Cricetulus griseus: one gene and its partner. The protein of the gene in region 2 purifies or fractionates together with the protein of the main gene of each other region. This does not show direct contact. Links are inferred from orthologs where the notes say so. Each region holds a gene or a part of one and is shown on either strand. Other genes may lie near its edges.

Region 1 (4,767 bases), on a different chromosome or scaffold from region 2:
CTACCTGAAGGCTGGGGACCTCACGCCCAACTGGTATATCCCCAAACTGCAAGCAGCTTTGGCTGAGTTTGTCTTTTACTCAAAACTTGTTTTAATTTTTATTATTTTTGCTTACATGGTGACATTATAAAAATTCTAGGAAACAGAATTACGAACTATCAAAGCCAGCTTAAAGTCCCTGGGCCACCTATCACACTGCCAGTTTCCAGGTGTCTGGCTCTATATTCTCTACAGGGCTGGACAAAGTTCATCTCATGGGGGTTATAAATATGATTTATAGGCTGAGAACGAGGCTCAGTCAGTAGAGTGCTTGTCAGGCATGCATGAACTCCTGTATTCCTCCTTACACCCTGTAAACTATGGTGGTTCATGTCTGTAATTACAGCACTTCAGAGGCCGAGGACTCAGAAGTTGAAGGTCATCCGTGGCTGTGTAACAAATTTGAAGCCAGCCTGGGATACATGAAACCCTGTCTCAAAACAAATTAAAAAAAAAAAAAAAAAAAAAAAAAAAAAAAACTTGTTGGTAATTAAAAAAAATCCTTTGCTGAGCTTCTATCTGTAACCCCAATACTTGAAAAGCTGAGGCAGGAGGATCTTGAGTTTGGGGCCACCCTGAGATATGCAGGGAAAACCTGTCTCAAAAGCATCATAAATAAATAAATCAAAGCCTAACAGCAAGGTGATATCGAAACCTAGAGCTCTTGTGCCCACTACCACCCTGGGGTCAGCGTGTAGGCATCCACCGGAGGGAGCCGTGGATACTCAGCCTGTAACTGTTACCCACAGATGTCACGCATTCTGATCTGCGTTTTCTCTTAGCATTGTGATCATAAGCATCACCCCCCCCCAACCGACTGCAATATCTGTCTTTCAGAGCAGAGACGGAGAGAGGCCTTTCCCGGAAGCACATTATTGAAGGTGAGGAGGGTCGCTAACCATGGCGCTGCCCCATGGTGCGCGCAGCCTGTGATCTCCTGAGGAGAGCTAAAACGTGTAGTGGCCCTACCTTCCCTTCAGTGAGTCAGCCCACGCCTTGACCCTGGAGCACACGGACCCCTTCTTTGACCATGTCCTCCTGCTCCAAAAAGACGCAGGAGACCAGCTACTGGACAAAGGCTGTGCCAAGCCTGGACAGACATGGTCAGGTTTCAGGCCAGGCTGAGCTGCGTGCTGTCTGAATGGTCTTGGGCGAGAGCCATCACCTCCCTGAGCTTGTGCCAAAAGGTCTGGAAAACAGGACTGTGTGAGCACACACCCACACGGGGCTGTTGGGAATAATGGACATGCAGCCCAGAGGGGGGTGGGGCTGGATGCGAGCTCTTCCTAAGCCACATTTATTCTGATCTAAGTGATATTTTTCATGAGAAACATCGTCACTGGGCAGGGGCGGGGAGAGGAGGTTTGGTACCTCCTCAGGCCCAGTGTCTTCATCCTGACCGTTGGCTCTCTGAGCTGTTGGGAGGTGTGGGTTGGTGACTGGTGTGTCACATACCACCAGCCTTTTGTACTGTCCCTCTGTGTGATACCATGCCCAGCTCTGGTTATTTCAGTACAGACCACCAGGTCCCGGCAGTAGCCCAGGGAGCGTGCATGATTTATAGGCTTAGGACATTTGGTCTGTGGTTCTGACGTCCCCTGGAATGGCCAGGGTGTCTGCCTCCCTTTAGAATGTGCCTTGTGTCTTGGCATTTCCTCAAGAACCTCACCTACCCTGAAGCTCCCCGGGACAGGGGCCTACTCTCTTCTGACTCTTGTCCCCTGAGCCAGGGATCGGGGGATCTAGAGGCACACTCAGTGCTGACCCCTCCCCTTCTTCTCCCAGGACTGAAGGCTTCCCTGGAGCGGCTGCAGCTGGACTACGTGGATGTGGTCTTCGCCAACCGCCCAGACCCCAACACGCCCATGGAAGGTAGGTCAGCCGGTTCCCTCTAGCTAGTTCATGCAGGCAGGACAAAGCCAGGCGAGCAGTGGTCGTCTCTGAGGCTCTGGTAACTGTCACGAATAACCAGACAACCAGGACAGAGGTGGCTAGGCCTCTGAGTGGGGGAGGGGTGGGCCCTGGCCCTGCCAGGCTGAGCCCGGGCCCTCATCTCATTCTGTAACCTGGCTGTGTTCCGGAGCAGCAGCTCCTTCTCAGCAGTTGGTGTTTTGCCCCATGTGTGGTGGCTGTCGGGGACAGTTTATTCTTTTCATTCTGGTTCCCCTGGGAGGGCTTTGAGGTTTTTTTGCTCTGGGGGTAAGTTATTACCTGAAGGAGAGGAAGCACTCAGTGCTGTGAAGAGCCGTTTGGGTTTCCTTAGCGTTTATTTATTCCCTCCACCCGGTCCCTCCATCTCCCCCACTTCCTGCCTCAGCGTCTTTCTCATTTATGCTTTGCTGCTTATGGGACTTGGGAGGTGAAGTTGAACTGGTTATTTTGTCTCCATTTGCTTTTATATATATACCACACTGCTGTGTGTGTGTATATATATATATATTCTTTCTTTTCAGCAGAACTCTGTTCTGTGGGATGATTTGTGCTCTTCTGTCCTGCCCTTTATCATACCACGCCTCTGTGTTCCCACAGCGATAAACTCTGGTCTCTTTAAATCTTTCTTTTATCACCAGGGGACCCATTTAGTTCCTTCAAGTCAAGGACATTCATCATTGAAGGTACACAGTACCCTCAGCCGACTATTGACTTCTGTGTCCGAGCTGCATTTTATGAGACAGTATTTTTATTTACAAGACTCTGTCCCCCATGACAAACTTCTCCATAAAATGCATAAGGGGTGGGGAAGTGCCCCGTGAGGACATCTTGCAAGCAAAGGGAAAGCAAAATGGTGTTGGAGCCCCCTCGCTGCCCATCCACGCTGCCATTCCATCCTTCCTTCCCAGTGTGCATGGCCCCCGCCCCTACTCCATGCTTGTGATGAACCGCAATGGCCGGCTGGCTTTCTGCCGGGGTCTCCCTTGATCTGAGGATGGTCCAGTCCCTGCCTGGGAACTTGACCTTGGATGGTGTAATGGGAAGGGTTGGAAAAGACTAGGTTTCCACAGAGGTCCTGGGACCCCAGACTGTGCAACCCCTGAGACTTACCTCTTTCATAGTTCATGCTTGGTAAGTTCTAGCCTCCAACAGAGGCAAAGAACACCAGCCAACAAGCTGCCCCATCCACCGCAATGGTTCCTTGTAAGCACTCTGGCTGCAGGTGGTCACTCACGTCTGCTCATCTGGCAGCCAGGATCAAAACGGAGTGATTCTCTCTCTTGAAGAATATATACATGAGCTGGCACAATGCTGAGGCCAGGGGCATCCTTGTGCCATGCTTGGTATCTGCCCCCACTGTACCGTCAGTAAACGGCCTCAGAACCCCGCCTCAAGGATGGGCCTGGGAACTGGGCAGCATTCCACACTCGGAGGGCTCCTGGCTGCCACCTGGTGCTGCCACCTGACCCCTCCCATGTATCATTTGCGATTGGGCTGCAGCTGGAAGGATTTAGCATCCCTGTTTCTGTCAGGCAGCATTAATTATTGAGGTGGAAGACAGTCATTCCTGCGTGTCACTTTCTGGGTCCACGGACGTGCTCTGTACAGGTGCACAGTGCTCCTGAACACATGCTCCACATCTAGCCTGCCTCTGCTCAGATCCCCGAGGTGCCCATGTCCCCCTCCCCCTCAGAATAGCCAATCATACCAGGCTCCTGGCCCACCAGCCTGATTGCCAGGTGTTAGACTGTCTCCATCTTCCTCATTGCATGGGAAGGGCATCGTGCAGTTTCCCTGGCTGTGATCTTCATGACTGTTAGCAGGCAGCTCTGGGGGAGGCTGTGGAGAGAGACTGGTGTGGGCCATGCTCACGGCTCCCCTATCTCTGGCATGTGAACCTAAGCCTTGGCTGAATAGGGAAACTGTGCTGCATGGTCTCAGGTGCCTCCAAAAGTGTTTCTAAAAGTCTTAATAAGGGCAGCTTGTCCAGGAGCCTGGGCTCTGTCGAGTGGGCCCTGGGACCCTATAAGTCTCCTGAAACTTCCCAATCCGGTTCTGACGTCTTACCGATGTAAACCATGTTGTCAGTAAAAGCCAGTGACCCAGGGAAGGTCCCAGAAGTCCAAAACTCCCTTCTCATGTGTTCCCTCACCTAGGTGGGGCAAAGAAAACTCCAAATACCCCCATCCCCGACCTCAGAATAGGCGGGCAGCAGGGGCAGAAGTAAGATATGGCTTACTCAGTGTTCTGGATAAACCTACTGGGACCATTACACCAGAAGCCCCAGTGGCCTCAGTGCCAGAGATGAGGTTGCCCTGGATTCCACCATAAATAGACCTTAGCCAAAGCAATACTTAGGGACCCAGAATGAGCAAGAAGATTCCCCCTCCCCGCCCCCACCAAAATAAACAGGGCAGACAGGAGCCAGCGCTGTGTCCCATGCCAGGAGGGTACTGTTGACCCACTGGCATTTTGAGGCAGGCTGTCAGGTCTGGTACTCTCTCGCCTTCCTTCTCCCACAGTCCTGCCGCTGCCAGGGAGCTCTGCTGTGGGGTGGGCGGGGCATTCAGAGGCGAGGCGATGTCACCACCTCTGTTTTTAGAAGCACTTGCTCCTCTATATTCCTCCCCTGCCTCTGGCTGTCGACCTTGCAAGCACTGTATCAGACCTGTGAGAAATCCACGGAGCTATCCCTCACCCCTCCAAGACCAAGCTCTGTTTTAAGAGCCAACACATCTCTAAGAGGCAAGACAGCCAAGGGAGAAGGCCTACCAGTGGCGGGGCTTTTAGGGGAGC
Region 2 (4,744 bases):
GATATGAATTCCAAGTTTTGACGCTTCGTATTTCTGTGGACCTGTGTGATTTTGCCAGTCTTTCTGTGCCTCCGTTTCTTTGTGTGTTGAAGGTAGTAATAGCACTGACTTACAAAGTAAATCGATGTAGCAACACGTAAGAATGACCTGGGCATTCTCCCTCTCCTTACGCTGGTCTCTATGCAGCTACTAGCTCAGCGGCTCCCCTGCACAATCTTTCCCCACCAGGATTTATAACCCTCTTTTCTCATTGTGGTTTTTGCAATTGAGGATTTGGTGGAGAGGTTGGAGGGATAGTGTAGGATGCAGGGTCAGGAGACCAGACAGCTTCTCTCTTGATGGGACTGCCCCTGAGTCTGTACTGGCAGCTCAGATCACCAATGTCTGGGTTGGAATCCAGGTTCAAGGGGTGCGAGGAGGTCTCAGCCTCCTACCTTTCAATGGGTTTGCAGAAAGATCAAAAGAACCCTGTCCCTCCCTCCCTCCCTCCCTCCCTCCTCCCTCCCTCCCTCCCTCTTCTCTCTCTCTCTCTCTCTCTCTCTCTCTCTCTCTCTCTCTCTCTCTCTCACACACACACACAGTTTGCCACTCCTTTCCAGTCTAACTCTTTCCAAAGAAAGGAGACTATTAATGCTCCAGAGTAGTGGTTCTCAACCTATGGGTCGCAACCCCTCGACAACCCTCTATTTCAAAAAAAATTTTACTTAACAGTTCACAACATTGGCAAAATTACAATTATGAAGAAGCAATGAAGTGGTTTTATGGTGTGTGTGTGTGGGGGGGGGGGGGGTGGTCACCGCAACATGAGGAACTATATTAAAGGCTCACAGCAAGCATTAGGAAGGTTTGAAGCCATTGCTCTAAAAAACAACATTCAAAGGACTCTCTTCTCCAGTCTCTTATCTGCACTCAGCTAAAAAGCCTTTCCCTTCCATCTAAAGCAGTTCCCATCCTCTGGTGTCCCCTTGGCTTTCAATGTGTTCCCAGGTGATCTGAGATCCTGAAGCTATTCTCATCCTGTTGCCCTGGGTGTTTCAGCACTCCTGGAACAACCTGTTCCTTGCTCCTCCTGCTCCTTCCCTCCTCCCCTTCCCGTCCATTTTTGTGGCGGTGCCCCAGCTTAACCCTCCAGAGAGACACTCTCTGACTCTGGCCCCAGAGGAGAAAAGGGAGGGGGAGGAGGAGAGGAGGGAGCCACAAAGGGCGGAGGCCGGGGAGCTCAGCCAGAGAGGGGCTGCCGAGGTTGCATCTGCTGAAGGAGGCTTGTCTGCTGCCTGGTAACCAGCTGCCAGAACACTGAGAGAGCGAGGCTGGGAGTAGGGGCAGAGGCTTCTTGACGTCAGGACCAGCCAACGGAATCAGCTACCCCAGCCAGTCCAGAGCCAGCTGGGCCCTCCGCTGGAGAGAAGCCCGAAGCAAGGCGCGGAGCTTGTGAGTTGGGGGTGTGGGAATCGGTTGTCTGGGGCGCAGCATGCCCTCTGCCCCTGGGCCATGGAGATCTCCCTGGTGCCTCTGGAGAACGGCAGTGCCATGACCCCCAGAGGAGGAGGGGAGGCAGCGGCAAGCTGTGTGCAGACCCCCAGGGGAGAGTGTGGGTGCCCTCCGACGGTTGGGTTCAGTAATCAGTCCAAAGAGTCCTCACCGAGGGGGCGCGCCACGCAAGATGATGAGGACCAGGAGGGGCTGTCTTTGACCCCTCTACCTCGAGAGCTACCGCAGCCAAGAGTGCCATCTCCTGAGGATGAAGAGGAAGAAGGCGACCCTGGCCTGAGCACAGTGGAGGAGGACCAAACTCCACAGGGCGCAGGGTCGCTGCATCACCAGCGCGTCCTTATAAATATCGCCGGGCTGCGCTTTGAGACACAGTTGGGTACCCTGGCGCAGTTTCCCAACACCCTCCTGGGGGACCCAGCCAAGCGCCTGCGCTACTTCGACCCCCTGAGAAATGAGTACTTCTTCGATCGCAACCGGCCCAGCTTCGATGGCATCCTCTACTACTACCAGTCTGGGGGTCGCCTCCGCAGACCGGTCAATGTCTCCCTGGATGTGTTTGCAGATGAGATCCGTTTCTACCAGCTGGGGGACGAGGCCATGGAGCGCTTCCGGGAGGATGAGGGCTTCATCAAGGAAGAGGAGAAGCCCCTTCCCCGCAATGAGTTCCAGCGCCAGGTGTGGCTAATCTTCGAATACCCAGAAAGCTCAGGGTCCGCAAGAGCCATCGCCATCGTGTCAGTCTTGGTCATCCTTATCTCTATCATCACCTTCTGCTTGGAAACTCTGCCTGAGTTCAGGGATGAAAGGGAGCTGCTCCGCCACCCCCCAGTGCCGCCCCAGCCCCCAGTCCCAGCCCCAGGGGCCAATGGCAGTGAAGCCAGCGTCCCTTCCTCTGGCCCCACAGTGGCGCCACTCCTGCCTAGGACTCTGGCTGACCCATTCTTCATAGTGGAGACTACATGCGTGATCTGGTTCACTTTTGAGTTGCTTGTGCGCTTCTTTGCCTGCCCTAGCAAGGCAGAGTTCTCTCGGAATATCATGAACATCATCGATATTGTGGCAATCTTCCCCTACTTTATCACCCTGGGCACCGAGCTGGCAGAGCAACAGCCAGGGGGCGGTAGTCAGAACGGTCAGCAGGCCATGTCCCTAGCCATCCTCAGGGTGATCCGCCTGGTCCGGGTGTTCCGCATCTTCAAGCTCTCCCGCCATTCCAAGGGGCTGCAGATCCTGGGTAAGACCTTGCAGGCGTCCATGCGGGAGCTCGGGCTGCTCATCTTTTTCCTCTTCATTGGAGTCATCCTCTTCTCCAGCGCTGTCTACTTCGCAGAGGCGGACAACCAGGGGTCCCACTTCTCCAGTATCCCAGATGCCTTCTGGTGGGCAGTAGTCACCATGACCACCGTAGGCTACGGGGACATGAGGCCCATCACTGTGGGAGGCAAGATTGTGGGCTCACTCTGCGCCATCGCTGGGGTCCTCACTATCGCCCTGCCTGTGCCTGTCATCGTCTCCAATTTTAATTACTTCTATCATCGGGAGACAGACCATGAGGAGCAGGCTGCCCTGAAGGAGGAGCAAGGCAACCAGAGGCGGGAGTCTGGGCTGGACGCAGGGGGTCAGCGGAAGGTTAGCTGCAGCAAGGCCTCCTTCTGCAAGACTGGAGGTTCCCTGGAGAATTCTGACAGTATCAGGAGAGGTAGCTGCCCCATAGAAAAGTGTCACCTCAAAGCCAAGAGCAACGTGGACTTGCGGAGGTCCCTATATGCCCTCTGCCTGGACACTAGCCGGGAAACAGACTTGTAAAAAGAGGCCCAGGCGAACTGGTGACAGCGCCACTGGGAAGAAGGGTGGTCCTCTTGAGCCCGGGCATCTGTTTTATACCACAGAGTATTTAAGCCCACCTGGTCACTGATGTCTGGATGCTTGCCTGGCTTTCTCCTTTTTCACCCTTCCTGCCACCCTGCCCTCTAACACCCCCATTTTTCCCTCCTCTTTACAGAACACCAAGGGTCACCTATTTTTAAGAAGTATCACATTCCATGACGCAGGAGCTGTTGAAATGGTGGGTACTGTGAGATGGATGTATTTGTAGCCAGTTTTCTATACCCAGCAGAGGGATAACTCAAACAAAAATGACTTTAAATAGCCCCAATCCCAAGAGATTCCATAGCCCTCCCTATCCCCGTGTTCCAAATTTACTTTACATGTGATTATATTTGTGTATGAGGCAAATATTATTTTTATGGCTGATGAGGGCATTTTTGTACGGTGGTGCACATGAAGAATATTTGGGTGTGTTCTTAAGATATATTTTGAATTACGAAAGAGTTGGGGGTCATCTTTTCCTAGGACACTTGGGGCCAGAGACCCTGAAAAAGATGTCCAGGTTCCTGTGCTGCGGGTGCTTTGTGTCTAGGGCAGAGAATATTCTAGAAGACTAGTACATCTTTTTTTTTTTTTTTTTGGTTCTCCTTAAACATTTCCTGTGACTTTCTTCACAGAAGCATTTTAATGATGTTGGAAGAAGGCATTTGAGAATTCATTCTTTTCATTTTGATACCAGGAAATAAAATGTGACTCCACTGGGGCAAGTGTCAGTTTCTCTACTGCCAATGTGTGTTTTGACATGCTAGGGAGTGAAGTCTGCCACTTGCTGTCTGGTTTTAGAGTCAGTGAAAATGATTTGACGGGGCTAGAAAACCTAGGAGGCTTGGCATCATCATTTTGATGGGTCCCTCTGAGCTTAGAAGGATGATAGACCCCCTGGCCTGTCTTGAGGCTGTGTGTGACATGGATGAATTACAGTCAGCACAGACTGTAGAAGTGGGATTAAAGGAAGGGGGCAGTGAGCTCTACCCTGCAACTGTCCTCTTGTGGTACCAGCTTTGAGTTTCTCAAGATTGTCTCCTTTACTGTAAGTCCTAAGTCCTTCTTGTTACTGTTCTCAGTCGCTCTGAGAAGCAAGCCCGATGCTCACATATACGTCTGTTCAGAGGAGTAGAGTCTGGTAAAGGTCACTTGGGGAAAGTGCCTGCCTGCTCACTACCCTGGAGCCTGGTTTGGCAGAGGTGTGAGCCATGCCTTCATGGCGGGGAATGTAGAAGGGTTTCCTTGTTCCAACTAAAGGACAAAGTGTGGGTTTGCCCGCATAATCTTTAAACTCAGAATGAATCTCTTTGTCCCTCTTTCAACTGGATGGTTTGTGGCATAACCCCACAGCGGCAGGTTTTGTTCCCGCTGCAGCTTC

The links. The genes of interacting proteins can lie anywhere in the genome.
Region 1: the proteins of Kcna5 (region 2) and Kcnab2 purify together in Homo sapiens (co-immunoprecipitation; 3 studies listed by BioGRID and IntAct, counting the BioPlex papers as one, with this or other methods). This does not show direct contact. The link is inferred for Cricetulus griseus from reciprocal best matches to the Homo sapiens genes KCNA5 and KCNAB2.

Annotation. Positions count from the first base shown.
Region 1 is NC_048595.1:3,958,830-3,963,596, forward strand, and holds part of Kcnab2 (voltage-gated potassium channel subunit beta-2), read left to right. Parts: intron 1-876; coding exon 877-920; intron 921-1,824; coding exon 1,825-1,911; intron 1,912-2,609; coding exon of another isoform or gene 2,610-2,654; intron 2,655-4,767.
Region 2 is NC_048601.1:19,958,289-19,963,032, forward strand, and holds Kcna5 (potassium voltage-gated channel subfamily A member 5), read left to right. Parts: upstream 1-1,491; coding exon 1,492-3,300; downstream 3,301-4,744. UniProt on the Homo sapiens protein: Voltage-gated potassium channel that mediates transmembrane potassium transport in excitable membranes. Forms tetrameric potassium-selective channels through which potassium ions pass in accordance with their electrochemical gradient.